Linked DNA regions of Lytechinus pictus. The protein of the gene in region 1 purifies or fractionates together with the protein of each later gene. This does not show direct contact. Links are inferred from orthologs where the notes say so. Each region holds a gene or a part of one and is shown in the gene's direction. Other genes may lie near its edges. The genes, in order: squamous cell carcinoma antigen recognized by T-cells 3-like, speckle targeted PIP5K1A-regulated poly(A) polymerase-like, U6 snRNA-associated Sm-like protein LSm2 and U4/U6 small nuclear ribonucleoprotein Prp4-like.

Evidence for each region.
Region 2: the proteins of squamous cell carcinoma antigen recognized by T-cells 3-like (region 1) and speckle targeted PIP5K1A-regulated poly(A) polymerase-like purify together in Homo sapiens (co-immunoprecipitation; 4 studies listed by BioGRID and IntAct, counting the BioPlex papers as one, with this or other methods). This does not show direct contact. The link is inferred for Lytechinus pictus from reciprocal best matches to the Homo sapiens genes SART3 and TUT1.
Region 3: the proteins of squamous cell carcinoma antigen recognized by T-cells 3-like (region 1) and U6 snRNA-associated Sm-like protein LSm2 purify together in Homo sapiens (affinity purification with mass spectrometry; 3 studies listed by BioGRID and IntAct, counting the BioPlex papers as one, with this or other methods). This does not show direct contact. The link is inferred for Lytechinus pictus from reciprocal best matches to the Homo sapiens genes SART3 and LSM2.
Region 4: the proteins of squamous cell carcinoma antigen recognized by T-cells 3-like (region 1) and U4/U6 small nuclear ribonucleoprotein Prp4-like purify together in Homo sapiens (affinity purification with mass spectrometry; 5 studies listed by BioGRID and IntAct, counting the BioPlex papers as one, with this or other methods). This does not show direct contact. The link is inferred for Lytechinus pictus from reciprocal best matches to the Homo sapiens genes SART3 and PRPF4.

Annotation. Positions count from the first base shown.
Region 1 is NC_087246.1:34,702,106-34,709,877, reverse strand, and holds the start of squamous cell carcinoma antigen recognized by T-cells 3-like, read left to right. Parts: upstream 1-4,575; 5' UTR 4,576-4,599; coding exon 4,600-4,743; intron 4,744-5,849; coding exon 5,850-5,976; intron 5,977-6,804; coding exon 6,805-6,909; intron 6,910-7,772. UniProt on the Homo sapiens protein: U6 snRNP-binding protein that functions as a recycling factor of the splicing machinery. Promotes the initial reassembly of U4 and U6 snRNPs following their ejection from the spliceosome during its maturation.
Region 2 is NC_087247.1:65,568,568-65,576,311, reverse strand, and holds the start of speckle targeted PIP5K1A-regulated poly(A) polymerase-like, read left to right. Parts: upstream 1-4,638; coding exon 4,639-4,708; intron 4,709-5,788; coding exon 5,789-5,979; intron 5,980-7,744. Other genes in the region: nuclear envelope integral membrane protein 1-like, read right to left, coding at 2,886-2,943. UniProt on the Homo sapiens protein: Poly(A) polymerase that creates the 3'-poly(A) tail of specific pre-mRNAs. Localizes to nuclear speckles together with PIP5K1A and mediates polyadenylation of a select set of mRNAs, such as HMOX1.
Region 3 is NC_087259.1:10,985,404-10,993,356, forward strand, and holds the start of U6 snRNA-associated Sm-like protein LSm2, read left to right. Parts: upstream 1-4,947; coding exon 4,948-4,965; intron 4,966-7,953. UniProt on the Homo sapiens protein: Plays a role in pre-mRNA splicing as component of the U4/U6-U5 tri-snRNP complex that is involved in spliceosome assembly, and as component of the precatalytic spliceosome (spliceosome B complex).
Region 4 is NC_087259.1:20,211,385-20,218,767, forward strand, and holds the start of U4/U6 small nuclear ribonucleoprotein Prp4-like, read left to right. Parts: upstream 1-4,315; 5' UTR 4,316-4,404; exon of another isoform or gene 4,405-4,459; intron 4,460-7,383. Other genes in the region: vesicle-trafficking protein SEC22b-like, read right to left, coding at 3,485-3,559. UniProt on the Homo sapiens protein: Plays a role in pre-mRNA splicing as component of the U4/U6-U5 tri-snRNP complex that is involved in spliceosome assembly, and as component of the precatalytic spliceosome (spliceosome B complex).

The DNA of each region.
Region 1 (7,772 bases):
GTGACATCACACTGTGGCAGGAGGGTAGTGATTACATAGGTGTGTATGTAGAAAAGTCTGACAATTTTCTTGCTTTCCAGATTATGAATTTGATGAGTTTTTTTTTTACAGAGGAAACTGGCACTGATAATCATTCTGTAGCCAAATGGATAGAGACCTGGAGCTCTTGATTAGGTTTTTGTGATTTCTTTATTTGGCTCTCTTTGGCCAAAGTTATGTCAGGAGAAACTGTTACATGTAATCTGAATGAAGATAGAAATGAAAAGAAGTGCCAAATGAGCAGGAAATAAAACAAGGCAAAAAAGTCCAAAGCTGTAGATTTCATCAATTTAAGGATTAGGAAAAGCTATTAATGATTTATGTTTTGATAGAAGTAAAGAAAATCAAATGTGTAATCTGGATTCTGGAAAGCAAAGCAAAAAAAAAAATCACCCAACCTGTATGGAATCATGTTGCTTCTGACACGGAATGACATCACAGACTTCAGGACGGTGAAGACCACTATAAAACTTATTTTCAAAGCCTGATAATTGGAGCTACTCTCATGCAAAATACTCAACTAGCGAAAACTGGTGAAAATTCATAAATCTTTGCATGGCTGTGTTTTGTAGTTTATAAGCTTTCAATTGGTAAATGATATTTCAATTTCACTTTGGGTCAGGTCAAGGTTTTTATTAAAATAAAATAGTGTTAATTAAAAATATTGTTGATAATGTTTTTTGTTGTTGACAATGTTGATAACATTTTTTCTTGTATTATGGATATATGGCTCAACCCATGTAACATCCTTGTACAACTGACCCCATCAAGAGGCTTAGTTGTGCAAAATTACTTTTTTCAAAGACATTGTTTTCATTGAGATAATATTCTAATCTTAGAAACATTATCATAATATATGATAGCTATTATTCTTCAATTTTACTAGGTACAAGCTCTTGGTGACTTTGAATAAAAAGTGGTACAACTGACCCACCCTTCCCCTAATCACAGCATTTTGGGTCTTCAAAACTTATGTAAAATATGTCATAGTTTAGTTCAGAAATGTATGCAATGAACGAAAAGATGGAGAAAATATTTGTACCAGGATGACCCTGGTATATATATATCTGTAAAGCGCTTTGAGGTCTTATTCCGATGTATTAAGTGCTATACATGTATAAAAGCGGAATACTATTAGGAGTAGTAGTAGTAGTAGTAATACTATTTTTACTGGCACCCAGGGCCTGTTTTCATTTCAAGCTAGCATCATTGTCCTCATGTCAGGTAAATGATGTTAAAAAGTGGCATAAATACACAGTAAATTAAGTGTCTTTAATGACTCATACTCGTGCGAAGCATACAGAGATTTATTTTAAGTAGTCTGATGAGAGCTGTCAAAAATAATTTCACAAGATACTTATTCTGTACAAACTTACATGCTGCAATTATGTGAAACTATAATTTGATTTGTACCCATTTTGCTTTGTTATATTGACACATTTCTTTTATTTATTGCACTGTATATGCATGTATAATGTATATATATATTATGTAAGACATTTATAAATTGAGCTGCCATGCTATGATAAATCTTGATTCGTCAAATTCTTAGTTCTGGAGTTATTTTGTATGTTTTTGTGTTGACAGAAAAAAGAATGAATGAGTATGCATTGAGGTGAATTTGTACAAAAAAAGAAGACCAACCTAATATCATTTCATTTGAAATAAAGGCAGAAATTTGAGAAACAGGCAATGATTATAGAATGGCCATGTATCTTTGAAAGAAAGGGAGCTTAGTGGGTTTTCCTTATTTTTTTCTCAAAAAATTACAATCCCAGATGAGTCCCAGGGAGTGTGCCTTTTGTGAGTGTTTAACCATTTTGAAAGTGGGGGTGGGGGGGGGGGGCTGACCATGTGAAAAAATTGCAATCAGATAGTACTCTTAATGTTTTTGTACATGTCAGTTGAAAGCGAACTGAACTTCCATAAATTGTAGAAAAGTGTGTGTTTATGTGGGGAGGGGGGGGGGGGGGTTAGAGGAATGTATTAGAGCTACTCATCTAGATGTCACAGTCAAAAACGTAAATTTCATAACTGATATTCTTCTGATCCAGGAATGATTTTCAAAGAGAGGGCGCTGTTTTGTTAAGCAAAAACGAAATGTTTTTTCCTCTAAAATGAAGGTGTGATAGTGGCCAAAACACATAATTGACAAGCAAAAAATAAAGGGGGGAGGGGGTGTGCTCCCAAATGAGGGAGATTTGGGTGAAATCTCTACATTTTGGCAAACCCCTCTTCCATTGTCCATGATTCCTTGGCGAATTTATCTACAAACAGATCAAATCCTTGAATTTTCAGCCATTCCATTATCGAGTAATAGTGTTATATATTCAAGAGGCAAAATATATTTTATTTTGATATAAATAGCATAAGTTATCAAATAAATTGATTTTTATATTAACTGATTTTTATTTAAACAGGTAATATAAAAATCGGTGGCTTGATCCCAAAAGTATGTGTGTGTGGGGGGGGGGGGCTGATCTGTATGGGATGGGTATAGTGATATGGGGCCTGTGACGAGATGAATGATACGTTGGAACAAAATCCCGTTTTGGCGTTTGACTTCTGAGGCCGCAAGACGGGACATTTTTTGAGCACTTTTCGTAATCACGTTATACGATGCCTCTCGAATTAAACATATTCATCTAATTTCTTTTCTATCTTTATTTCCATCCTTTTCTTTTTTATCTCCCTTCGTTTCATTCCATCTTCCTTCATAGGCTCAGTGTCTATTAATGTAACCCCCCCCCCTCGCTACTTCATGGTGGAGGGGATGCAGGGTTTCGGTAGTCTTTCTTCCCCTCTTCATTTTCCCCTTTTCCTTCCCTCAGTCCCGACATACTCAGCAAACCCTGTCCTCGAGAGGCTATCTTTTATGAAAATAAAAAAAAATCCCCTTTTCTCTTTTTGTTAATTCTTTCTTTTTCTTTATATTATCTTTATTAATTTATTCTCTTTCTCTAAATTTCACTTCGTTTGCATCTCTTTCTCTATCTTTCCTGTTCCTTTCTTTCTTTCTTTCTTTCCCTCTTCCTTCAGCTGTTATCTTTTTCCCTTCCTTATTTTACCGACCCCCCTTTCTTCGTCTCTTCTCTCTCCTTTCCCCTTCCCCTTTTCACCCTCTCCGATCATTTCTTTCCCTTCCTACTTCTCGATGGCCGGACTTGTCCTTTAAGTTTATAGCATGTGCACATTTGGGCCATCGATTCGAGCCCGCAGACCGCGGCCATCGAGATCAATTAAAAAAAAGTAAATGAAGAAGGGGAATGGGAAAGGAGAGAGAAGAAATGAAAAAAAGGGGGTTAAAGAAGGAAGGGGAAAGGGATGAAAACTCGAGAGAAGGAAAAGAATTAGGAGTATAAAGAAAGGAACAGGAAAGATAGAGAAAGAGAAGCAAAAGAAAAAAAAATAATTAAAGGATGTTTAAAGATAAGAAAAAGAAAGAAGATTTAACGAAAAGAAATGGGGGGGGGGGGGGTGTTTTTATTATAAAAGAGAGGGCCTCTCGAGGACAGGGTTCCACTATGCCGGGCTCGATCCCCCGCTCGATCGTCCACATGCTAAACTTAAATCGGGGAATTCAACCCAAACAAAAACTTGGTTTTAAAGGGAAAAGAAAAATGAAACAAGTTGAAAGGTGATATAGTTTGAACAATATCGACAAACATTAAAGTTATGCTGTTTTTAAAGAGTTATCACTATACCCATGGAGACTTCAAATTAGTTGTCATAGTGATAAAACAAGGACTACTCCAGGCAAATCCAATACATAAAATGTCAATTTTTTTGAAAAGTTTTAGTGCAACTTATATTTTTCTTTCATGAGGACATAAAGTAATGTACTACCTGGGTTACATTTAGATTACTGCCCCATGCCGGGGAATGGGCACTTCGCTGAAAACCATAAATCCCTGATAATATACCGTGACTGCATGGGTCCACTGCGGGGGGGGGGGGGGGGCACATCAGGTCTGTGTCCCCCTATTGAGAACCATAATCAAAATTTGCAATGTAAATATGCATAATAAACAAGTGTGTCCCCCTTTGAAAGTAACTGCATACATTATATGTGGTTCATACACGAGTGAGGCCCTCAGCTAGCTTTTATTTTGCTTGCTAGCTTTTACTTGGACGAAATGACCTCAAATTTTGTGTGAAAACATTTATTTTTTGCTTGTCAATTTTACTCGGACGAAATGACCCCCAATTTGGGGTGAAAACCTTTTTTTTTGCCCCCCCCCCCCTGGATCCACCGTCCCCTGACTGGGCCTATGGAAAAGTTGCCTGAAAAGTTGTCCTTATGGCCCTAATATTAACTTGCCTCGGTCATAATTTACTTGCCCAGTTGCCCATTTGAAATCTACATAGTCTAGGGAATCTCTTCAAATAGCCATAACTTTCTTATTGCTTGTCTGATTTCTTTTAAACTTTCACCAATCCGCTTTTTTCATTAATTTCTTTCCTTTCTAAAACAACGTCTTAAAAATATGAACAAAGGCTGGATTCCCAGGACCACATTATGTAATTTTTATTCTACAGAGGGCGTTTTCAACAATCAAGATGGCGGAATTTGCGAATGTTACAGAATTGCAAAATGTAGAAATGGGGGAAGAGAAAGAGCTAGGCGCTACCTCCGAAGATTCGAGTGACGATAGTGATGATGAGGATGCCGATGACCAAGAGATTATTCAGCTCTTGGATGAGGTAAATCATTTTTATGAATTAAAGTGAGGAAAGTACAAAAGTGTCTGAACGTGTTGAGTGCGATTATGGCAATAATGCCTGGCATTGTCCCACATATTTCTTTTGATGTGACGTGACCTGGGGACGGATGGATGCTACCACCACTTGTTCATTGCAACCATCCTGCCTGTGGGGAATCTACAGGTAGGATATGGTATGCCAATGCTGTACACAGCACACACTTTAAACAAATCATTAAAATATCACTTTTGTGACCAAAAATACTAATTTCCATACAGTTGCAATTCATTTTTCATTAGTAACTTGGGAATAATTTTTGTATTCACCAGAACGCTCAAAAACTTGAATTTTGGGCATATTTTTGTTTACGCCCTCTATTGGCGGAAAGTAAAATTGCAAGAAAATTTTCATTTTTCAATCTCTATTTTCAATCTAGAAAAATGATTGAAAGAATTCAATTTACTTAAGAGCCTAGTTATATGAAGAATAGCTGTAATAGAAACTGACAGTGTCAAAAAATCAAGCATTTGTCCCCAAGAACAAGAAAAAATGAGCCAAACATTGCCAACCTGATTTCACCTCACAAGGAATACTAACAGAGAACAAGGTTATCATAACCTTGTTCATTGAAAGAGTGGTGGCAAGTTACAAAACGGAATAATGTGTTCATCGCTAGCACCGGCGCCTTTAGCGGGCGACATACATTTTGCTTATTACGTGACGTCATCCAGCCACTATCGCAAGCCAGTTTATGAATGAAAATATAGTAAGCATGCGCAGTAAGCATGCCTCCCAGTACCCCACACAGTATTCCATCAAAACAAGTCTGCAGTTCCCAAACTTTGAGACGGTGTGAATACACTTGATATACTCTGTGTTGTACGAACTCATTTAGTTTGATTTTAGAGGCTCTATATTCATTCTGTAACTAAAATCAGACATGCTTGCATTTAAATGATTTCATCGGCTAAAGCAAAAGTTAAAAATTACTTAAAAATGTGCTGTGCAGCTGTGTTCTGGATTGATTGAAAAATTGTCAAAATTTTCACCCCTCTGCAGTGAATGGTCAGTTTTGAATGATTTTCTTTATTTGTTTGATATTCCAGGTAAACAGCAACCCATATCAATACGATGCACATCTGAAATTGATCACAATACTGAGGCAAGCGGGAGAGCTGGAGAAGCTAAGAAAAGCAAGGCAGAATATGAGTGAGCTATTCCCTCTGACTGGAGGTGAGATTACTGCGCCACCAAGGGTCTGTTTTAAATAAGGAACCTCTGACAAAGATAACTATGCCATTGTGGTAACCACCATGGTAACGGGCCTAAGCAACCGATCAAAATCAAAGCTTCTATTGCAGCTTCCACAGTCCATGTCTGTGAAACGGACTGCCAAATGAAAAAAAAAAACTCACAAACAAAAAAAAACAAATCCATAGCAATACTATAGATCATTATATTTCTTGTCTTCAAATGTAATTTTTATTTTTTTTTATATTTGTATGTTTTATTGACATGAAGTCATGTAAATCTTAAAAGCTATAGTTTCAACAATTTTTTTCATGACATGAAGCTGGTGATGTTGATTTTAATGGTGGTGATGCTGGTGGTGATGATGATTATGATGATGGCGGTGGTAATAAAAATGAGACGTAGAATAATGATGAAAATTGATTATGATAATAGACAGTAGCGGACTGTGACCCGGAGGAGACAAAGCATTGGAGGGGCACTGTATTGTTTGTGAACAATGCTGTGCCCCCCAATGCTTTGACTCCTCCGGGTCACGGTCCGCCACTGATAATAGATATAGTTAATGATAATGAAGAATGATGATAATTTATGTATTAACAAATATGATGTAACAATTAAGGAAGATGGAATTAAAGTAATCAATCTAACCTAAAGATGGTGAAATGGGAAATGAAATAGGGAAATGACATGACTTTACTTTATTTATGAGTCCATTGATTTCTCAATTCAGAAAAGTGACCACCAAGTTTCATTTAGCAGTGGGTAAAACTACCTTTTCTTATCTACATTTTTTTTCAATTTCATTAGAACTGTGGATGCAGTGGATTCAAGATGAGCTTAAGCTCATGGAGAGTGGTGACGATAGACAAAAGGTCATGGAACTCTTTGACAGAGCTGTGAAGGACTATCTTGGTTGGTATACGCTTTACATGACCCTCTACCCCAAAACTGCCAATAAGTCAAGCAATTTAGAAAACACCCCCTCCCCCCAGTCAGATTATTGTGGCAGTTTCTCTTTTTTTTGAGGGGGGTTGAAATTTTTGTCTCGCCTGCATAGCAGAGCGAGACTATAGGCGCCGCTTTTCCGACGACGACGGCGGCGGCGGCGGCGTCAACATCAAATCTTAACCTAAGGTTAAGTTTTTGAAATGACATCATAACTTAGAAAGTATATGGACCTAGTTCATGAAACTTGGACATCAGGTTAATCAAGTATTACTGAACATCCTGCCTGAGTTTCAGGTCACATGACCAAGGTCAAAGGTCATTTAGGGTCAATGAACTTAGACCATGTTGGGAGAATTATTTTCAAAATCTTAACCGAAGGTTAAGTTTTTGAAATGACATCATAACTTAGAAAGTATATGGACCTAGTTCATGAAACTTGGGCATAAGGTCAATCAAGTATTAGTGAACATCCTGCTCGAGTTTCAGGTCATGTGACCAAGGTCAAAGGTCATTTAGGGTCAATGAACTGGTCAAGTTGGGGGTATTTGTTGAATTACTATCATAACTTTGAAAAATTTATGGATCTAGTTCATGAAACTTGGACATAAGGTTAATCAAGTATGAGTGAACATCCTGCCTGAGTTTCAGGTCACATGACCAAGGTCAAAGGTCATTTAGGGTCAATGAACTTTGGCCAAGTTGGGGGTATTTGTTGAATTACCATCATAACTTTGAAAATTTATGGATATAGTTCATGAAACTTGGACATTAGGTTAATCAAGTACCACTGAATATCTTGTGCGAGTTTCAGGTCACCTGACCTTGGT
Region 2 (7,744 bases), on another chromosome or scaffold:
ATGTCATTTCAAAAACTTAACCTTCGGTTAAGATTTTGAAAATAATTTTCCCAACATGGTCTAAGTTCATTGACCCTAAATAACCTTTGACCTTGGTCATGTGACCTGAAACTCAGGCAGGATGTTCAGTAATACTTGATTAACCTTATGTCCAAGTTTCATGAACTAGGTCCATATACTTTCTAAGTTATGATGTCATTTCAAAAACTTAACCTTAGGTTAAGATTTGATGTTGACGCCGCCGCCGCCGCCGTCGGAAAAGCGGCGCCTATAGTCTCGCTCTGCTATGCAGGCGAGACAAAAAACTAGAAAAATTCTGAAAATTTGCATCTTATATGCTATATGAAGAAAAAATCTCACCAATTCCCTTTTAAATCATTAAACAAGAATATTGTCACCCATCTCGTCACCCGACGCATCTCGTCAGCATGTTTGATATAATGTTGCATCCCATAGAGATAAGAGGGCGCGTGTCCGGAATCATGTTATTTTTAACGCATGAAAATCATTGTTTTTTCGTGGAGGGGTATGTGGCAAGTGCGGCCAGAATTTTGCCATATTCATAATTTTCATATATGAAGAGTTTAGTTGCAAAAGGGGTTAGGTCCACTTTGGACCATTCCGAGAAAAACCATGTTTTTTATTCTCACTTATTGCAATATTCTTATGAGAAACTGAATTGTCATGATGTACTACCCCATCATGTGAACATAAAATTGGGTATAAAAGAAATCTACCTGTCTTCAATTTTTTTGAAAAATTATCATTGTGGACCTAATCCCTCTTGCAACTAAACTAAAATGAATCCAATCTCTTTTGATTAAAAAAGTGATTTTTCTTTGCCCTTTTCATTCACGTTTTCATTTGAATCTCAAATTGTCTTTCATATCATCAGAGACTCAGAGTGACTAAAAATTTAGAGGTTTAGAAACAAAAAACAATAAAATTTATGAAAAATGGACCTAACCCCTTTTGACGAATTTATGAGTTCTTCAAAAGAGTTTAGTTGCGAAAGGGGTTAGGTCCACTCCAAGAAAATCATTTTTTTAATTCTCCCATATTGCAATATTCGTAAGCGAAACTAAATTTTCATGATACCCTATTACCCTACCATGAGAACATAAAATAAGAGAAATCTACCAGTCTTCATATTTTTTAAGATATTCTTTTCCAAAAAAATTCTGTGGACCTAACCCCTTTTGAAAAAAACGTGACTTTTCTTTGCCATTTTAGTTCACTTTTTAATAGGAATTTCAACTTTTCTTTGGTATCATCTTATAGAGCTACTAAAAATCTATACATCAAGACATAAAAATCAAATTTGATGAAAAATGGACCTAACTCCTTTTGCAAGTGAGCTCTTCATATTTAGAATCAATAGCTAAGCTAGTGCAATTTTTTCTTGAATTCATCGTCTCTATATGCCCTTTTTAAAGCACTGAAATAAATTTAAGGGCCTGTATTCTGAAGTCGGGTTTAACTTAAACTCAGGTTTAAAGTTGTGGCTTAAGTATGGATAGCCAGTTGTTACATTATAAATCACTAACAGTAGAGATATCATATTTCAGCTCATTTGCCTTTCAAATCATTCATAATTGTCTAGGGAGTATAAATAGATGATTGTCTTCACCATCAATGAATCAGAAAAGAGCACAGTAAACATCAGAAACATACAACTTAAAGGGATGGTCCGGGCTGAAAATATTTTTATCTTGATACATAGAGTAGAGTTCACTGAGCAAAATGCCGAAAATTTCATCAAAATCGGATAACAAATAATAAAGTTATTGAAGTTTAAAGTTTAGCAATATATTGTGAAAACAGTCGTCATGAATATTCATTAGGTGGGCTGATGATGTCACATCCCCACTTTCCGTTTTCTTATGTTATTACATGAAATCACATTTTTTCTTTATTTCATACTAGTGTGAATAATGTCTCTCATATAATGAAATAAGTTGCAGCAATAAATATCTAATGCACTAAATCAGTTGTCAATCCAATTTTTCTAGTTCTTGGAGGAAAAAATTTGAATAAACCTAATTTCATATAATAAAATACAAAACAAGTGGGGATGTGACATCATCAGTCCACCTAATGAATATTCATGACGACTGTTTTCACAAAATATTGCTAAAGCCTAAACTTTAAAATTCAATAACTTTGTTATTTGTTATCCGATTTTGATGAAATTTTCGGCATTTTGCTCAGTGAATTCTACTCTACTTATTAAGCTATAAATACTCTCAGCCCGGCCATCCCTTTAATGAAAATTTTGACTCTTTTGGCTTCCCATAATTTTAGCACAGAGTTAGACCGTGGTCTAAGTTAAACCCGACTTGAGAATACGGGCCAGTGTGTCCGGCAATACGAGTCACGACCATAGGTGCACGATTTATTTTTTCCCCTATTATTTGGAGTGCTATTGCGACCCCATTCTACGTGTACCCCATTTTGTAGAGCATATGTCTGCCCAGTATTACACGGACGAGTCCTGAACGGGCCAGGTGGCTGTTTCATAAAGCTGTTCGTAAGTTAAGAGCGACTTTAACTTAAGAACAACTGGTGATCCTTTCTTACGCGCAAAACCATCGCTAATGAATACCATTCGCCACAAGAAAGGATCACCAGTCGTTCTTAATGTCGCTCTTAACTTACGAACAGCTTTATGAAACACCCACCTGAGCTCCCTGGGTTAGGTCCCCCCATCATAGTTCATACCGATTACCGGTGTTTCGACCGGTTTATGCCCGCCAAAATCATTCCCATTCATTCAACTTTCAACAGACAAGCTGAGTGAAAAACAAAATCGCTGACCAACTCGCACTTCCCTGGATAAAAAACAGTAACATCGAAGTCAATTTAAACATGCAAGGGATATTTACCGTGCAATAAACTGCCATGAAGCAGAACAGACAAACTAAATACATATATGAGTTCCATGTCATGATCCGCCAACCAGAAAAGTGAAGATCCTGAAAGTGAAATATGAACCGACAGTACCGGTACGGTATTCAGTAGCTAACTCCTGAATCGATTGCACAAGACGAAGGCCCTGCCACAAAAGATTTGTAACACATTGATCAAGCACATACATTAACCACGCAAGTGTACTACATAAATATGATGAGAAGCCAACCTTTGCTATGGTACTTGTATAGCTACCTATACTCCGCCGGCGGATGTTTTGAATCTGAAACGGGCATCATGGAGCACGATACGATATCATCAAAAGGGAAATCTTTCCATTGTGACATCTGCAATGTGAAAATCATGTCAGGTATTAGAGGTCTAAAAATGCGTTGAATATCCTTCTTTGTTCATTCACATACATAACAATTTAAAACACTTACCGTACGGTACCGGTACGTTGTGGTCGACAATTTTTGCTTTGCGATGATGGCGCATGATAATGATGTGCGATGTTAATTCCGGTCATGAACAAGATGAGGGTTGGAATGGACGTGGGGCGTCCGAACACGTGACACTTCAGTTTGAATTGAACTTTCATTTGAAGCCTTTTTTTTGTCTTTTGATTACACAAAAAATGTGAATTAAATTGTTAAAATCTTTGAAGGCTTACGGGTCATTCCAGAGGCGCACGGCCAATATGGGAGACTGTATCCCAGCCCAGACCCACTAACCTCGCATGTTGTGTGAGTGGCCCAGACCCAATAATGACTTAATGAGTAATACTAATAGTATACTAATGAGAGAGATAAGGTTACAATTACATTACTGCGGCAGCCTGAACACAGTGTCGAGGTCTCCGGGTCAAACGTAACATAAGCCTTGCTTAAGATTAACTTCAGTTGTGGACGCAGGATCTTCTGGTGATAAACAGAGACTTTTGTAAAGAATTTGGGTATCCTATTTCAGAGACAGTTGACTTTGACTGAGTTTGAGTTTGGGAGACCAATTTCCTTAGTTTGTTAACATTTGCTGCAAAAGGATTAGCTTGGCGGCAAATAAAAATGTGATAGGCCTAAGCAGATTCTTCATGAAAAATTACCCCTTTTCACCGTCTACTTTTGTTTCGATAAGGATTTTTGTAATTCACACACAAAACAAATGGGCTTCTGACCTCGGAGTTGGACAAATTTCGGGTAGAAAAAAATATGCTTTTGTTGCCTGTTGGTTATTTTTGTTATTCACAATCACACACAAAACAAATGGGCTTCTGACCTCTGACAAATTTTGGTAGGAAAAAATATGCTTTTGTTGGTGTTGTTTCTTTTGTTCTTTTGCAAAGCAAGTCTCCATCCCCTGAATATGGGAGATTTTTACTCATATTATAATTGGAGAGAGTTTCCTATATTGGCCGTGTACTATACTGCCCAAAAAAATTTAACCGACAATTGTTTATCTTTTGTCAATATTTTCAATAAAAAATTGGTAGACTCTGTTGTTAAAAATAAAACGTTAGGCCCTAGAATGGATCTAACGTTACTTGTTAAAGTTAATGTGGTCCAACAGTGTAGATAGTCACGTATTGTATTAGGGGAGATTGGGTTGGAACATTTTTGACAAAAATTGCTGTAAATTCCAAATAGAATTTATTTGAGAAACAATATATCAGCTTAAAGCATATACCTAAGACTAAGGGCTTCAAATGTACCCCATAAAATCTTTAACTCCATGACGGTTACTGAAAAAATCCACCTTGAACAAGAACATCGCAAGCGTTCCAACTTACCCCATATACGGGGTAAGTTGGAACATGGTATGGGGTAAGACGGGGCCCAGGTACACTCAGTACTTCTAACTAGGCCTAATGTGAAAAGGGCTTATTTTTCAGCCCTCCTACACAGACAGAAGACTTAGCCTTGAGGACTCCATGATGATATTTTTTTAATATTTTGACATATACTTCTTCATCATGGAGCCTTGAACCACCTCCCATATATGTATAAGAGACACACGTAAACAAAGATGGATTTCCCTATCTTTGAAGATAGAAATCACGTAAATGTTAGTAATTTTATTTATTTTTACACCTTCATATGCCTAATGTGTATGAAGGTTTCAAAAAATTTTAACACACCCTTTAATCCAAAGCACCCCCCCCCCCCCCCCCGGTTTTGCGGAAAGGGTGCATTGGGTACTGGGTAGCGTATAGTTTCCTGGAATACAACCTTTTGTTGAAAGGGTGTGTCAGGTTTTTTTTTTTAAGTCAATTGTAGACAGTCAAATTTACATTAATTTGTCCATTGCCCTTTTTGGTTTAACCAGGCACGGATCCAGGGGTCTTGTTCAATTCATTTTTGACATTTTATGATCAAAACTTTGTTGCCCCATTTGGCAAGTATGCCTACTGGTACCTGTAAATATTACTGTTTACTTTTTATTTTTACTTGTCCAACATGACATGTTATTTGCCCCATTCAAGCCATCCAGTGAAAGTGTCAAGCTATGTTGTAATGACCGGGTTAAGAATTGAACTTTATATTGCATGGGTCCCTTAAAGATAGAATGGATGCTCAAACTACAAACATACTGTTCAACATTCTTGCTACATGTACATGTGGTTGCTACGATTTTCTAAATGTACTAACAACAAGTCCAAGAATTCATAAATTTTCAAACAACATTGAAGCTATTTCTTGATTCTTGTAGTCGTTCCCTCAATCTGTCTAATATTAGGCTGTTGTCAACATGGCAGAGCAAAGGCCAAGAGCCAAGCAAATGAATATTCTGGATTCATTTAAAAGGGCTGAAAAGCTTCAGAGAAGCTAGGGTAGACTTTCTCTCAGGTTTACATCCTTAGCATTATATTTTCTGATTGCAGGTAAAGCTGTTGAGGATCATCTTCAAGGAAAGAAACATCAACGTCTGATTGCAATCCAGGCTTCAAGACAAAAGCAAGCAGAATGTAGTATATTTGTTGGGGGACTTACCAAGCTCGTCTCTGAATTAGAGCTCACAGATTACTTCTCCAAATTTGGCCCTGTTGCTCAGGTCATTGTAGACAAGGATAAGGTGAGATTAATACCATGGTGAAACTTTATGCTTTCTTCAGTCTACCAATCTTTATACCACAAAATGCTGGCATTTTTGATCGATCATTCTCATCAATGATAACTGAAATAATACACATGACAATGGGCAATAGTTAGAATGAAAAAAATTATCTAAAGTTATTAAAGAATGTTGAATAATCCAGCCCTCTGATTGGTCTAAAGTTAGGTCATGTATTTGACCAAGTCTGTAAAACAATAAACCAAGGGCAACAGGCATATTTAACAAGATTTATGCCCATTGCAACCTAGTAACAGGTATAGTTTTGCTGAGATCCACATTTGATTAAGTGGAAAAGTTGCTTTGTGCAGTGATTGCAGATACCATAATTGAATTGAATTGAATGTATTTATTGTCCTGTGTAGGAAATTCCTTTCACATCGGGTTTACAAAATTACAAATACATATGCACATACACAGAATGAATAGACTTACAATACCGTGGGATTGCATACACATACAAAATGCTGTATACGTTATTTCAAATAAAATAGAATAAGTACAATTGCAGATATATGAATTAATTAATTATTCAAGTATTAATTGGTTTGTGGTTCCATCTCCAGCCCGAATACGGAGGGGGGGGGGGGTGGAACGAGTATTGCGAGGAAGGTAAATTAAAGGTGAAGGAGTATTAAAAAGGGGCGGGGTTAAGTACCTTTTCATAGTAAGCTAAGTGCAATTCCCCATTCTATCTGATAACTGTTCTATTAAACACATGTTGAGAATTGGGGACGAATGACTGCCTAAAACGTACTCTGTTAGTACGGGAGACACAGAGGCGTACACCAGACCTATTGAAGTTATAATAGCAGTGTAGAGGGTGAGATGGATCTTTTAAGATAGCCTCAACTTTAGCCAGTAATCTCTCGTTGTACAGAGTTTCAATTGGGGGTAATTCAAGACCGATTATTTTCTGAGCAATTTTCCGTGGACGTTCAAGCTTTCTTTGTTCGATTTAGTAAGGTTGCTATAGAAGCAAATTACATTACAACTGACTGAATAATAGACTTGTAAAACAGGGACAAAATCGACCTATCCAAATGGAGCTTTTTGAGTTGGCGAATGAAAAAGAGTCTTTGATTTGCCTTCTTTTGAATTGAGATTGTGTTTACAGTCCAGTCAAGAGTATACGTGATTGTGGTACCAAGGTACAGAAGTGATAATTGTGGATAAACATTATATTCATCTAGTTTCTGAATTAGCAGATGTGGAACCAAAGTGTTAAATGCACTTGAAAAATTGATAAATGTCGATCTCACATACGTTTTAGTCTTATCTAAATGAGACAATGTTTTGTGTAAGTGCAGTAAAACTGCATCTTCTACTCCCCTGTTTGATCTGTAAGCAAATTGTAATGGATCTAAGTGAGCATCTGTTTGTTTTAACAGATATTTTAACATCAGTTTCTCGAAACATTTCATAATACTGCATGTTAACGCAATCGGTCTATAATCATTCATATCAACCAGGTTCTTGACTTTTGTAATAGGAACTATGGATGATGTTTTCCAAAGTTCCGGAATAGCTCCACAATCGAGGGCGATTTGAAAAAGTTGTCTGAAAATACCAGCGAGCTGGTCTTAACATGTTTTCAAAACTTTATTCGGGATACAATCTGGACTGGGTGACTTGCTGACCTTTACATGACCTAACAACACTCTTACGTCATGTTCCGTCCAAACAATTCTATTGCTATCGCATTCATCCATCTTTTTTTATCGAA
Region 3 (7,953 bases), on another chromosome or scaffold:
CGAGGCTCAGTATGACTCCAGGTGGTTTTGGGTCTCCCTCTCTCCTGAAATACACAGTCAAAAAGTGATAAACAGCTATTCATGAAAAAATCAGACTCTTAAAATGGTGGAAAAAATAATGAATTTCGATTTTCGGCATTTCAAAATCTCATCAAAATCCTCAAATCGTGTGTAAAGTGATTGGTGCGCAGACACGAGGCGCTGGCCACTATCATAATGTTAAATCTGAAATTGAAAATCATAACTGGCTGAGTCTCAGATTTTTTCCAAGACCAAGAAAATCAGTTTCACATTCGATCACATATCTCTCTCATTTACTTACAACAATATATGGAACAATATCAACTGAAAGATTTTGTGAAATAAAAACAAAATTCATGTTAAATCTTAACACAAATCGTAAGGTCAATATGATGTATGTGCGCAGACTTGCACCGGCATGGCAGCCACACATCCACGCCCGGCTAGTCGCGGCCGGCAGGCAGCGCTGAGGGGCAGTAACAGGATGTCCTGACGAACTCTAACGTTACAGCTAGCCCCGCAGCTAGCTGCGAGCCGCGCCATTTAACAAACTACGAAAAGAAAATCATAGAAAATTGTTAACTTACCTGTAGAGCCTACTGCGAATGTCTTAGCTTTCAAGTCATTGTCCAAATCTGGTCCGTGTGATTTCAGTGGTTGAATTATTATTAAAACGGCCTTCTTTACCCTTCTTTATCGCACTAGCACTCGATAAAAGTGCGGTGCAAATTAACGGCGCGGCGAAGATGGCTCTTTCAAATTCAAATTAGATTGGCGGTTTGCGTTTGGCGCCTGGCGGCGCTGGTTAATTTGCATAATTATACGGACGATAGCGATCAGTGGCACTCAGTGCGCATGCGCAGGCCCGCCCGCGCCCGGTGATTGAAGGAATAACGAAGGGGGGGGGGGGGTCTAAAGCAAGAAAGAAGTTTTAAAATAGAAATACGAACTTCTTAACATACAAATTTCTTCTTGTTTGGTTTTGGTTGGCAACCAGTCAAGAAATGACGATTTTGCCTCTGCTTTTGCATGGAGCTTTTTTTTTCTTTGAAAGTTTAAGAATGAATTAGCTTAATATTTGTTCTTTATTTCTATTTTATTTATTTTCTTTTTATTTGAAAGATAAAGATAGCCTTGCTTAACATGGCAAGGTTGTAAACTAGCAATAAATATGCGCGTTATAAATAGAAAAAAATAGCTATTCTATTCACCTTCAAAAATATTTTTAAAATATCAGTGAGTTAAAAAAAGAAAAATACATTAATTTTTATGTGATTTGTAAAAATAGTGTAAAATAGTCCTCTTTAACTTAAATTAGAAAAAAGGGATTAAATAGGAAGAAATTTTTTTCTCGCAACAAATATCTAGGATAACAATTTTTTTAATGTAAACTAGAAAATTTCACTGAGAATAACATGTTTCGATTTAAGTTATATGGTGATATCGAACCACATACTTTAATGAAACTTTTCAAGGTGGAAATATTAAAATTAACATAAAGAATAATTAAGTTAGTTATTATGTAGATATTTTTTTCCTCTTATCCTCAATCGAGCTGTGTATAGGATGGATAAATGCATGGCATTTATTGTGGTAAAAGGCTGAATTACATGAATTTGTACAGAGCAAAATTTCAGTAAACAAATAAGCAACAAAAAAATAACAAAGTATACTAATGTATAATATTGGAAAGGGGATACAAAAAGAAAAGTATACAGGGAGGGGGGGGGGGAGTAATGTCAAAAGCAGGAATGGGCAAAGGTTGGGAGTAGGCTAAATGTACTATATACCTTTAACATAATGAACATTTTCACATAAATATATATTTAACCAATGTTGAATGAATAACAATACATGTAGATTAAAGAGTGGATTGTATGAAATAATACTTGCTTTTTTTTTAGAAAAGTAACGCTTTGTTGATGGTAACAATAATAATAGTTATAGGAAACACATTCATGAATGATAATCATAAAGAATTATCTCAAAAGGAATTAAAAACAAAGATAAGAGGACTTTGAAGTAATATGATCTGTACAAAAAATATAAATATTAATGTAAAGTGGGTTACAGCTATATTGAGCCAGTGACTTGTCGGATAAGAAATTTGAATGATTACTGCAGATATCAACAATTACAAAAATATTTCAAAAGTCAGTTTAAGAGAAGCGACAAATAAAACAACAAAGGTATGAAAACATAGTTCTTATATAATATATATATATATATATATATAAACTCTGTTGGAAATAAGTACAATGCATTACCACTATGCCTCTAATATACATATATATATATGTATATATTATATATGTATATACGGGTTCTTACTAGAATCAACTGGTAAGTCCTATTGGTTCTAACTGGTATCATTTGGTTTGATATTCCAGTATGGTTAATGGGTTTCAAGTGGGTTATGGGTGGCCTATGGGTTCCAACTGGTATAATCTGTTCCAGTTTGGTTTATGGGTTTTAACTGAAATCAGCTGGTAGATATATACTGGTAATGCCTATTGGTTCTAACTGGTATCAATTTATTGGTTTGATATTCCAGTATGGTAAATGGGTTTCAAGTGGGTTATGGGAGGTCTATGGGTTCCAACTGGTAAAATATGTCCCAGTTTAATTGATTTATGGGTTTTAACTGGAATCAACTGGTAGTATACCAGTAATGTATGTTGATTTTAACTGGTATCAATTGGTTTGATATTCCAGTATGGTTAATGGGTTTCAAGTGGGTTATGGGAGGTCTATGGGTTCCAACTGGTAAAATATGTTCCAGTTTGGTTTATGGGTTTTAACTGGAATCAACTGGTAGTATACCAGTAATGTATGCTGGTTTAACTGGTATCAATTGGTTTGAAATTCCAGTATGGTTAATGGGTTTCAAGTGGGTTATGGGAGGTCTATGGGTTCCAACTGGTATAATCTGCTTCAGTATGGTTTATGGCTTTTAACTGGAATCAGCTGGTAGATATGCCAGTAATGCCTATATTGGTTCTAACTGGTATCCATTGGTTTGATATTCCAGTATGGTTAATGGGTTTCAAGTGGGGTTATGGGAGGTCTATGGGTTCCAACTGGAACACTCTGATCCAGTTTGGTTTATGGGTTTTAACTGGAATCAACTGGTAGGTATACCAGTAATGCATGTTGGTTCTAACTGGTATCAATTGGTTTAATGATATACCAGTATGGTTTATGGGTTTAAGGTGGCATTAACTGGTATATACACCCATTGGGTTTCTATGGGTTCCAACTGGCATCAAATGGTCCAGTTTGGCTAATGGGTTTTAAACTGGAATCTATTGGTAGATAAACCAGAAAGGCCTATTGGTTTTAACTGGTATTAACTGGTGTACTAATTTATACCAGTATAGTTAATTGGTTTCAACTGGAATAAACTTGTATGTTTTCAGCATGTCCAGTTGGGACAATGGGTTTCAACTGGAATATACTGGCATGGTGGGAGTTTACCAGTTGTGCCAATTGGTTTCAACTGGTACCAGTTGACTCCAGTTGAAACCAGTTAAAATTTCAACTGGTTTCAACTGGTTTTTTTACCTGGGCGGACACTATTGTGATTCCGGACGCGCATATAAATGCGTTCGAAAACAATTTCGAACCGTAAGACTTCCGCAATTCATTTTCACAGATCAATACATAGAACAAGATTGCAAAAACAAGGCGAAAAAAATCAAATTTCTACCTTATTTATCTCTAAAATGACAGAAAATGCTTAAAATATCATATAACATAGTTTTGCATTAACAATTGAATGAATTGATATATTTTCTAACGGAAATATGGGCCTGATTTGCCTAATTTCAATCTCGTCGGCTCCTTCGATCGAATGATGATCAGGTGAGGTGTATTGTGGGTGATCGTCGACGGCTAGTTCTCAAGGTACCGTGCGCGAGGTTTACCGTGAGTAGAGCCGTCGACGATCGGCTGCGCATCGATAAAACTTGATGAGCGTCACGATACGAACGAGCACTGGAAAGTGCCATGAAACATGCAGCTAACCAAAAAATAAAAAATAAATTAAGTTATCAAACACGAATTTATTACCAACATCTGCTCAGATTCGATATAAAAAAAGCAAACAAAAAGTTAGAATTTATTCATGATATGATATAAGAAGAAATAAATCACTGAAATTTATTCTCACATCATTATAATCAAGGATATCTTTACCCGTCCGGAGCGCGTCCGGAATCATGATGTAATTTGTCGCGCACGAAAATAATAGTTTTTCGTGGAGGGGTATGCGGCAAGTGCGATGCAAAGAAAATGGTTCGTAAATATAAAATAATTTTCATTATATTTGGAATAGCAAGTGCGAATTTTTCTTGATTGTATTTTCTCTAGTTGTCATTTTTAAAGCACTGAAATAAAGGTGTCCGGCAATAGGATACACTACCATACATGGGTAAAAATATTGGTTGGCAACGTTTGGCAAAAAATAAGTGTTGATGGATTTGAAATGACGAATAAATTAATATGAATAAGAAAAGTAGAAGAGAGTTCACTTACACTTGTTGACATCGCCATCTTTGATCCTTTTAATTGCAACCTAGTTACGTGACGCGTATAGAGGGCGGCAAAATCATGAGCGGTGCTAGATTAAAAAGTGCTAAAATGTCCCGCTTCAACCACTGAACTAGAAATACATAGAGAAAACATATTGCATTTTGCCTTCTACGGCGCGGCGCGTTCTCGAACAATTGACCTAGCAAAATGGCGGCGGTCATGTGACTTATCGAGTTCGCCAGCGATGTTTTGCTTGGGTGTACACGGCTTCCACGTATTTCTAGTTCAGTGGTTGAAGCGGGACATTTTAGCACTTTTTAATCTAGCAACGCTCATGATTTTGCCGCCCTCTATACGCGTCACGTAACTAGGTTGCAATTAAAAGGATCAAAGATGGCGATGTCAACAAGTGTAAGTGAACTCTCTTCTACTTTTCTTATTCATATTAATTTATTCGTCATTTCAAATCCATGAACACTTATTTTTTGCCAAACGTTGCCAACCAATATTTTTACCCATGTACATAAGTTTTAAAGCTAGAATCTAAACATAACTAGCAGTTTGGCGCATTTCTATAGTTGCATTTTCCCTCGGTGTGTAGGATAGTATAGGACACAGTGCCAGGCGTTAGGGGAGTGACCATACGTACAGTATAAGTCTTTCACTCCCCAGACGCCTCCAGGCTATCCAGGACCAGGTCCAGGAGTCCAGCTAGAGACGACGAGATGAGCGATACGTAGGAACGTCCTAGGACCATTCTTCCGAGATAGGAAGATTGAAGACAAATCAGCGCTTTCCGTTTCACGAAGGCAATTTTGTCTTCCAAGTCCGCGACATCGTTTGATATCGATAGTATTCGGAATCGGAGTCTTCATCGTCACCTGAACTTGAACTTTGTCTGAACCTTTTATTTCGGAATGGCGACTTTTCATAAAATCATATATTTTAATAAAAGGAGATCAAATAATGTTTTAGTTATTACTGATTGTAGAATCGATGTATGGAGCTTACTTTATGAGGTAAAAAGAGAAAAAACTTTCAAGATTCACAAACATAACTAACTGGATAAAATCGAAATCATTATTTCCCTTATTTAGAACACGGTGTCCATTTAGAGACACCTTTCATTGATATTTCAATGAAAGAGACCCTTGTCCGACCTAAAAATTGATTTAACTAAGTAATTTCGACATTTTATTAGTCAGGGCTCCACACTAACCCTTTTTTTCTACTGGTCCAACCTATTCATGTCGGACCAGTAGATACCCAGTTTTTCAATTTTTTACTGGTCCGAACCTAAAATCTACTGGTCCCAAAAAATAAAGAAAACATTAAAAAAAGGCGTGAGTTTATTTTGCTGTCCTTTCTTGTTACCCCCCCCCCAAAAAAAAAAATGAAGGAATGAATGAATGAAAGACAAAAAGAAAGAAAGGAAGAAAGAATAAAAGAAAGGAAGGAAGGAAGAAAAAAGCAAAGGTAAAGAAAGGATAGATGTGAAGGAAGGAAAAAAAGAAAGAAAGAAGGAAAGGAAGGAAAGAAAGAACAAAAATAAAGAAAGAACGAAAGAAAAAAAGGAAGGAAAGAAAGAAAGAAAGAAAGAAAAAAAAAAGAAGGAAAGAAATATGCAAGCAATAAAGAAAGAAAAAATAAAAGACAGAAAGTAATGAAAGAAGGAAAGAAGCAATAAAACAAGAAAGAAAGGGTAAAAGGAGAGATGGAAAGAAGGAAAAAAGGAAGAATAAAAGAAACGAAGGAAGAAAAAAGTAAAGAAAAAATGTGAAGGAAGGAAAAAAAAACCAAAGAAGGAAAGGAAGGAAAGAAAGAACAAAAGAAAAAAAGAATGAAGGAAAGAAGGAAAGAAATGAAGCAAGCAATATAGAAAGAAAGAACAAAAGACAAAGTAATGAAAGAAAGAAGGAAAGAAGGAATAAAAAAAGAAAGAAAGGGTAAAAGGAGAGATGGAAAGAAGGAAAACAGAAAGAAAGGATTGAAAGAAGGAAGAAATCAAGAAAAGGGAAAATGATAGAAGGAAAAAGGAATGTTGGGAAGGAATAAAGAAGGAAGGAAGCAAGCAAGCAATATATAAAAAAAAAAAAAAAAAAGTAAAAGAATAAATGCAAGGAAGAACAAAAAAGAAAGACCAAACTTCAAAGAAAGAAAGGAAAGGAAGCAAGCAGTAAATAAAAGGAAGAAAGAAAAGGTAAAAGGATAGATGGAACAAAGGGGAAAAAGAAAGAACAAAAGACAAAGAAGAAAGGAAGGAATGAAAGAGAAAGGGCTGAAAGAAGGAATAAAAACAAGAAAGGGTAAAGAAAGGATGGATGGAATGAGGAAAGAAAGTTAGTAACAAAGAATGAAGGAAAGAAAGGGGAAAAGAAGGAAGGAAATGAAGAAAGAAAGAAGAGATAAATATAGGATGGATGGACTCAAGAATTAAAGAAAGAAGGAAATCAAAAAAGAAAGAAAAAGAAAGAGCATTAGAAATAGAGAAAAATATTAACAGGACAGAAAGAAAGAAAGAACAAAAGACAAAGAAAAAGGGAAAATTAAAAAAGAAAGACAGTAAAAGAAGAGAGGGAAGAAACAAAGAAAGATTGAAAAGAAAGAAGGAAAGAAAGATTGAAAGAAAACAAAGGAAGAAAGCTAAAACTATCATCATAAATAAATTATCAGTTTCTTTTTGGCTCAATTAAAATATACTAGTACTAGCTACGAAAGAAACCAAGTGGATCAACACACACACAAATGCATATGTGGGGCTATCATGTATTCAGACGATATCACTCGAAACCCGATCTCTTTGAACTAAAACAGAAGTGAAAATTTCTCCTTTTACTGCTTACAAATGACAGAGTTACCCCAATTTTGGCAAATTTTTAGGAAATATGGACATTATAAGAGCTTTTCATTAGTGTGAAATGTGAATTTTGACAGTTCTGTGAGAGATATCTGCCAGAGGTTAGCCAAGCTTCGTTCGTGCAGCCAGTAGGAAATTTACCATGTGGGCTGTGTGGCTGGCTAGCCACGTGTACACTGTATGTTACCCTATCAAAAATTGCATGCGATTCATTCTGTGTGTGTTCTGTGTGTGAATGCCAGAATTTAACGGGAGGAAAATGGTTCGCAATTTGAGTCAATTTAAGTTGGACTAGGGAATTTGACCATTTCTGAAAAAGTTACTGGCCCAACAATAGTTTTTATTACTGTTTATGTCGGACCCATAAATCTTGCTATTTTTGGAAAAATTACTGGCCCGACAATGATATTTTTTACTGGTCATGTCGGACCAGTAAATCTTGCTATTTCTGAAAATCTACTGGTCCGACAGTGATTTTTACCGGTCTGGGACCGTCGGACCGGCGCTAGTGTCGAGCCCTGTATTAGTTCAATATTCTGTAT
Region 4 (7,383 bases), on another chromosome or scaffold:
CCAAAATGCAGTAATTTATAAATTATAGCATAATCTTATTTCGATAAAGCCTTTGACATAAACAAAGCATATTTAAAACAGATTTAGTTATTGCATATCAGAATGTTATGTTTGCCTGATGTTTTCTCAATAACTCTAAGCTGTTATTAATGAATTCTTTCTAGAAACAAAAATAAGCAATTTATTCAAACATGTCAGTTTCATTTTGTAGACATATGCATTGAATTTACCAATTCAGTATAAGGTACGTATGCCATCTTTCACATATGTTGATTTTTATCACTGGTGGATCTGGGGGAGGGCACATCTGGCTCACCCCCCCCCCCCTTAGAGAGCCTCAGTCGAGATTTGTAATGAAAATATGCCATTTTCACCAAAGTATGCCCCCCCCCCCCCCGGAAAGCAAGGTCCTTTTTTTGCTTGACAAATTTTCATCATGAAAATGTGCCCCCCCCCCCAGGATAAATCCTGGATCCACCCCTGGTTTTTATTAAGTTTACATGTATTTTCATTTTGAAAAAAAAGGTTTCCTAGAGATTTGTAAACAGCATGATTTACACTGAGCGTGTCATACACTTCTGTGCAGAAGAATATTATCTTGAGAAATTTGGTTATTAAATTATGGAAAATATCTTTTGCAAATGAAATTACTTGATTGCAATTATTTCTTACATTGTATTGTCATTTTACTTGATAGAAATTCATTATTTTTTATAACCATGACAGTGTTCTAATTTCATATTTGCTAAATTGTAATAATTCTTTTGATCTTCCTTCATCTTCATGAAAGTATGAATTCTAGTCATCTGCTTCAAAGTCTGCCCAATACAATGGTTACAAAGGGCCTAAGCATCACTTGTCATTTTTTAATAAGTAGTTAAGTCAGTAGTCAAGTAAGGGGTCAGACAGTTTGGCTGTATTATATTTGTTTAATTATCTTACTAGTGTCAATTTACTAAACTTTTGCTGTTTGTGATTGAACCCCCAAATTGCTCGATAGTACCATTATGTTGGACAGACGTTAATATTGACTAGAGGACTATTATTACTTTCCAAACCAACCTGAAGATAATATGATACTTCACGTAGTACAGGGGTATATTGTCTCCCTTCCATTGTTGTGATGTATGGGCTGGGTAATATCATCTAACTTGTCCTGGAATAATCATTCTCTGCAACAAGTTCCACTTCAGCGACTCTCAGTTGAACATCATCATTCCTGGCATTGGCGGCGGAAGCCAAAAATTTTAGGGGGGAACCGCCAAAACTTTTTGACAAAAAAAAAAAAAAAAATAGTGACCAAAAATCTTAGGGGGGGGGGGACACAGGAAACAAAAGTGAAAATTGACAAGCCAAAAAAAAAAAAAAAAAAAAGGTTATCAACAAAAAATTGAGGGGGGGGGGGTCGTCCCCTCCCCACCTAAAATTTAGTGGGATACGTCCCCCCCCCCCCACTTCCACCGCCTATGATTCCAGGTGCTTGGAGATCTTCGAAAGGCATGCTATAACATCCACTTAAGTTCCAGTTCCTTTCATGTTTTTTCCTCATCTTAGTGAGCATCTCCAAGTGTTCATATTTTTAGTGTCCTTTTTTAGATTTACCAAACTCAGTTTTATTACCTGATAAATGAAATTACAAAATTCTATCCCAAAAATTGAACACTTTGATCAAGTTTGGTTACTTAAACTTAATGTTAAATAAACTGAAAATATGTAATAAAAGGCAAAATAATAATAATGATGAAAAAAATACCGGTAATAAAAACAAAAGTTACTCAAATTCACTCAAAACCATACACTTATCTACTCTCCTCAAAAATCAGTTCTCACTTTTAGGTATTGATCATTCATTCAGTCAATGAAATAATAAAAAGAGACAGGAGATCCTCATCAAAATAAACACAAACAGTGTCTCACACACACACTACACATTAATAGTAAAATCAGTTTGTATCTTTCGTGGGATTTGTTTTTATGTAAATCTGGATTCTTCTTGGTAGTAGGGCCTTAGGTCGCTCTGACTTGAACTTAAAACTTCCAATCTCAAGAAGGCAAGATATATCTCGGGAGATAGTCATCATCAAGATGTTTAGGAGTTCAACCTGGTGGTGAGGTTATTCATGATGGCATCTGGTATTCTGGCAGAAAGAATCAGAAATATAAAATGCATAAATACAATTGTTTATTTTTTTCAATACAAATTAAATTACCTGAGTCATTCAAGATAGTGGGTATTTTTTTTTAGGGGGGGGTGATGGCATGACAAGTTTTTAGTCAAAATTATTTTTATCTTCATTTATCTTTTTTTTCCCACTTTGTATTACCATTTATTCAAAAATTGCAATAAACATATCAATAAATGAGTTTTTAATCTACCGGTAGTTGGCAAAAGTAAAGCCAGTATTGGCAGTAAAACACTGACACCACGGCACTGACACTGACAGTGAATGTTCATTTTCCAGTGCATGCACATCACTGCCCCATCATCTTCACTCGTTTTCAGAAAATATTTAGTTATTTCTCAAATATGACCATGATTATCTTATTCATGTCATTACTCTGGTGTTTATTCATGATTTTAAATTCAGGAAATCATTCAGCAAACGAAGAAAACAAAGCATTTCTTGACTGTGATTCCGTGTGATTCAAGTTCAATTTCATTTCTGTGTGTATCACATGTACGCACGTACGTGACGTAATCTTAATCTCTATTATGATGTAAATTTATCATCCCGCGCGCGATTAAAATGGCTCGAAATTCGACCAAATTCAAGGACAGCTCAGCTTGCAAACCTCACTGAGAAGGGCTTCCCCAGCCCTTGCGATTCCCCGCGCTGCAATTTCACTGCAATACACAGAAAGGAAATCAACTCAAGTTTCACAATCAACGGAAAATCCGGAACCCTTCGAGACCCATTTTACAAGAAATACAACTAAATAAGGTAAGAATTGAAAGCAACTCAAGACATTTTCGACTTACCGACACTTTCATGTTTATTTTCGGAAGATTTCATGGAATTTGGGGCACGAAAATGGTATCGGTAGCTCGCGAAAGTCCTGTGCAATACGATGACATATTTTTCATCGCACGGGAGGACAATCACAAAGAGAAAATATCATACACATCCGCGCTAACAGGGGCTTAATTTTGACGATATCGCATCGCTATGCGATTGCAATGATTGACATGCGAACGAAGCTTGCGTACAAATTTTGAGCACTTCCGCGACAGCGCCATCTAGTGACTACGGCCGTGCCTATACAAGGCATGGCAACAAATAGTCAAAACTGACTAGTTTGCATATTCAAAATAACATTAACACCCCCCCCCCCTCACACACACACAGACACAAACAAAAGAGGGGGAGACTGACGGACACTGCACTGGCTCGTTTTGACTTACCGGTACTTTTATTATTATTTTTTTTTACTTATGCAATTTGTTTGGTTTTCTTTCTCTAATGAGTATTCTAGATAAACTTACTTGTTCATCCTCCTGCATCGAGGCTGCTAAGGGCAGCCCGTCAGCGACACGGGCTATCATCGTCATCAAAACCATCTTGAGAAATTGTTTATGATGAAAAAGAGAAAGGAATGGATGGATGGACTGGTCAACAAGACAACTGCAAGTGCAACTGTTCCTCAGGTTTGCCTACAGCAAAATCAATACGTGGAGCTAGTGATGCTGAACTAGGTTATACAGAGATCTTCTAAGCTCTCAGCACGTCGATTCCCGATGAGCGTGGATAGCTCTTCTCTTACTGCTTCGTTAAAACCTTGAGAAATGTGTCGAATATAGCAAGATAACCAAATGGTATACCTGAAATTCAATTGAAATCGAAATTCCAGGGTGGTATAGGATCTAAAAAGAGATTCATACGTGTACCACAAAATTAGCCTTATCTCAAAACGCACAGCAGAAACTTTGAAGATGAATTATCAATTTCGAATGCATAAATTGCATTTCTCAAAGATTTAATTTAGAGAACGCAACTATTTTGGAAGATCTTCAATTAAAAAATAAATAATACAATCATAGACGAAGTAAAACACTTATAACGTGCAGTTTTATTGAATTTTATAATACTATGACGTCTGGTATTGACCATGAAATCCGAAGAGGAAAAAGGTAAGAGAGAGTGGTAATGAATAAAATATCAATTTAAGAATCGTATTTCCAAGTATTAAAAATAAAATACGGGTCAATGATTTTTTTTATTTTTATCAAAAAAAATAGTTTAAAAATAATATTTTTAGACTTTTAAGTTTCAAATTAAAAAGAATTGAATTTATTTAATATATTTGAACCCCAAACATATTGTTGAAATTCTTTAATTGCAAAATAAACGAACAGTCAACTTTGTAGTGGCTATCTTCAACTACTTTGACCGACGAACTTCGAACGTGAGGAGCTTTCTTATATTTCGTATTACGTATTTCCCCCCTATTGATTGATAATGTACGTATTAAAATGAATATTTCACTGTTTTTTTATGTTAAATTTTCATTTTTATTCAATCAATTGAATAATGTCAAGTATATAATAAGTCTTGCCGTGGATGTGTGGTGTACCTGACTCAGCTCTGAATTGCGTAATGTATGTCCCACGTATTTAAAATTGCGTGGTAAAAAAGTTCAATTGAAGAAGGTGAAAATGGCAGAATGCATCTGATCTGGCAGGGCCGGGGCGGTATCACTCACACTAATACGTAACCCAGAGAGCTCCCGCCCGCGCAGCGGGCGGGAGCCCAGAAGCTTACCGTGTATTTTACCATTGTCACCGGACTAGGGTGATTTATGGTCTAAATATTTCTCAAAATGAATTGTGAAAACAGAAAGTATACAATCAATTACCACGATTATATGGATGAAGGTCTAACGAGTGGCAGTTTCCTGACATCTGGGCACAGACTGGAACCTCAAATAAACGAAAAGTTCTCTCCTCTACCCCAGTCTCGATCGGCCATTTTGTTACAATTTTTAACAAAAATGGCCGATCGAAACGGGGGTAGAAGGAGAGAACTTTTCGTTTTTTTGAGGTTCCAGTCTGTGCCCAGATGTCAGGAAACTGCCACTCGTTAGACCTTCATCCATATAATCGTGGTAATTGTATACTTTCTGTTTTCACAATTCATTTTGAGAAATATTTAGACCATAAATCACCCTAGTCCGGTGACAATGGTAAAATACACGGTAAGCTTCTGGGCTCCCGCCCGCTGCGCGGGCGGGAGCTCTCTGGGTTAACTAATACGAGGTTCGTATATATTATACGAACCTCGTACACCGGACCGTGTTTGACCGTAGATTTCGAACTAGTCGGCAAACATTGCTTCATTGCTGAAGTAATATTTGCCGAAACTCCTTCTCGCTACGCACCGGGGCTCTTTCCGGTAAGTAGCAATACATAACAAAATTATACATATGATATTTAACTCATTTCATTTAAAAAGAGCAAATTTCGCTTACCTCGGCCTAGCAAGTGACTTCGTTTGTCTCTTCTACGGAAATACAAGGAAGCCCGTTGGTGGCGCTAATAAATTTCACAACCTTGATTCAGCTCCTCGGTAATTTTATAACTGTGTCTAAATTCTTTGAATGCGCAATTCTTATGATTAATTTACTAATTATGGGCACCAATAAATAAAATAGGGTAACGCGCCCGGTATTCGGTCACCTCCCAGAATTCGGTCAGACAGCTGTTTCAACAGCTGTTGAAAAAAAAAAAATAATGCATGAGCCAGAAAACTTTGGCATATCATGCAAGAAACCAGCACTTCCAGCCCACCTCAAAAAAAATGTCGATTAAGACAAGCACACAGCCAAAAACTAACCTTAAAATTGACCGCGTCGGGGGGGTTTTGTTTACTTCCGGGTTTCTTAGCTATTGAGTTAAGCGGACGCAGCCTCATGTAAACTCTTGTGACGTCATGACTTCGTGTGTAGGTGTAGTGAATTTGGTACGAGTGTGAAGGGGAAGACTTGTGTGTTCACCCAGTCGCAGCGAATATGCAACTAGCAGTGAAACTGATGAGTAGCGAGGGCTTATACATTGCCCCTATAGTGAGAGGGCGCTCGACCAGAATTCGGTCGCGCAACATTGAGTGTTTTGCCGGTGTGTTTGTAAGGAGGGAAGAGCGTGCAGATACGTTGCTCCTCGCAAGTGAAACACTTCTCTTAATCCATTTTTTGTTCTGTTAGGCCTAAATAAGTTTAGAATATATCTAAAATTATTTTTCATGAATAAAAATCTTAAATCAAAGATGTTTATTGCCTATGAAAATGCAATTTGAGCAGGTGAATGACGATGGTGACGAAGTTGGTAAATTTGACCAAGGCTCATTTTGATTGCCTTTGCGTGATTGAGTTGAAGTCTACATCTTTCTCAAATGATAGGGCAAATGATATGCCTACGTTAGGCCTAAATAAGTTAAGAATATACCTACAATTATTTTTATTAATAAAAATCTTAAAACAAAGATGTTTATTGCCTGTGAAAATGCAATATGAGCGGGTGAATGACGATGGTGACGAAGTTGGCGAATTTGACCAGGGCTCATTTTGATATTGCCTTTAACGTGATTGAGATTAATTCTTAGTGATTTCCTTTTTGGCCTCAATAGTTAAACTGTGTTATTTTTTTAATGTTATCATAGTTATTTTCAATATTATTATTAATTTGAATAATACATCCGGTTCCAGGGATGATGGACCCCCCAAGAAAAAAAAATTAAAAAGGCTCTTCCACGAGTGTTATTTTAAAAGACGTCATTGCTAGATCAAAGGCTGGAAAATTGCCCCTCAATTTTGCCTGTCCCTCACATATCAGAGGTCTGCAGCTAATTTTTTTGGTCGTTTTAATTTAAAACAAGGGGCCTTTTAATATTGTCATCATTGCTAATAACATCAATCGAAAGTGGATGACAATGTTGACGAATTCGGTTAGAATTATCAGTTACTGTTGTGAATTCAATTGGAATTCAGTTGCCCGAGTTAGGCCTAAAGTGATTTATAGAATTAATAAAATGTTCCTTTCGTCTAATATTAATTTTAAATTCTTTGAGTTCATACTTTCAATGACTTTTCAAACAGATATCAAATCTTTACTAACAGTATATCAAACAGCAGGTTGACAACTCAGTATTGGATGGTAGACAAGATGTCAAAAAGGAGGGCGTCTGAGGTATATGGGATACCTAAATCAACGCATAGGGATAAAGTAGGTCTACATATTTTTATTTACTTAACCATACTCTGAACTTAAACTATTATATCAATCGGTAATTTCCATCATGCTGTGTAATTCAAATGTTCTAAAAAATTTTCCTTACCAGTTTCTCCACAGATCGATGGGAAGACACCAGTAAAATCGCGGCATGGTTCCAG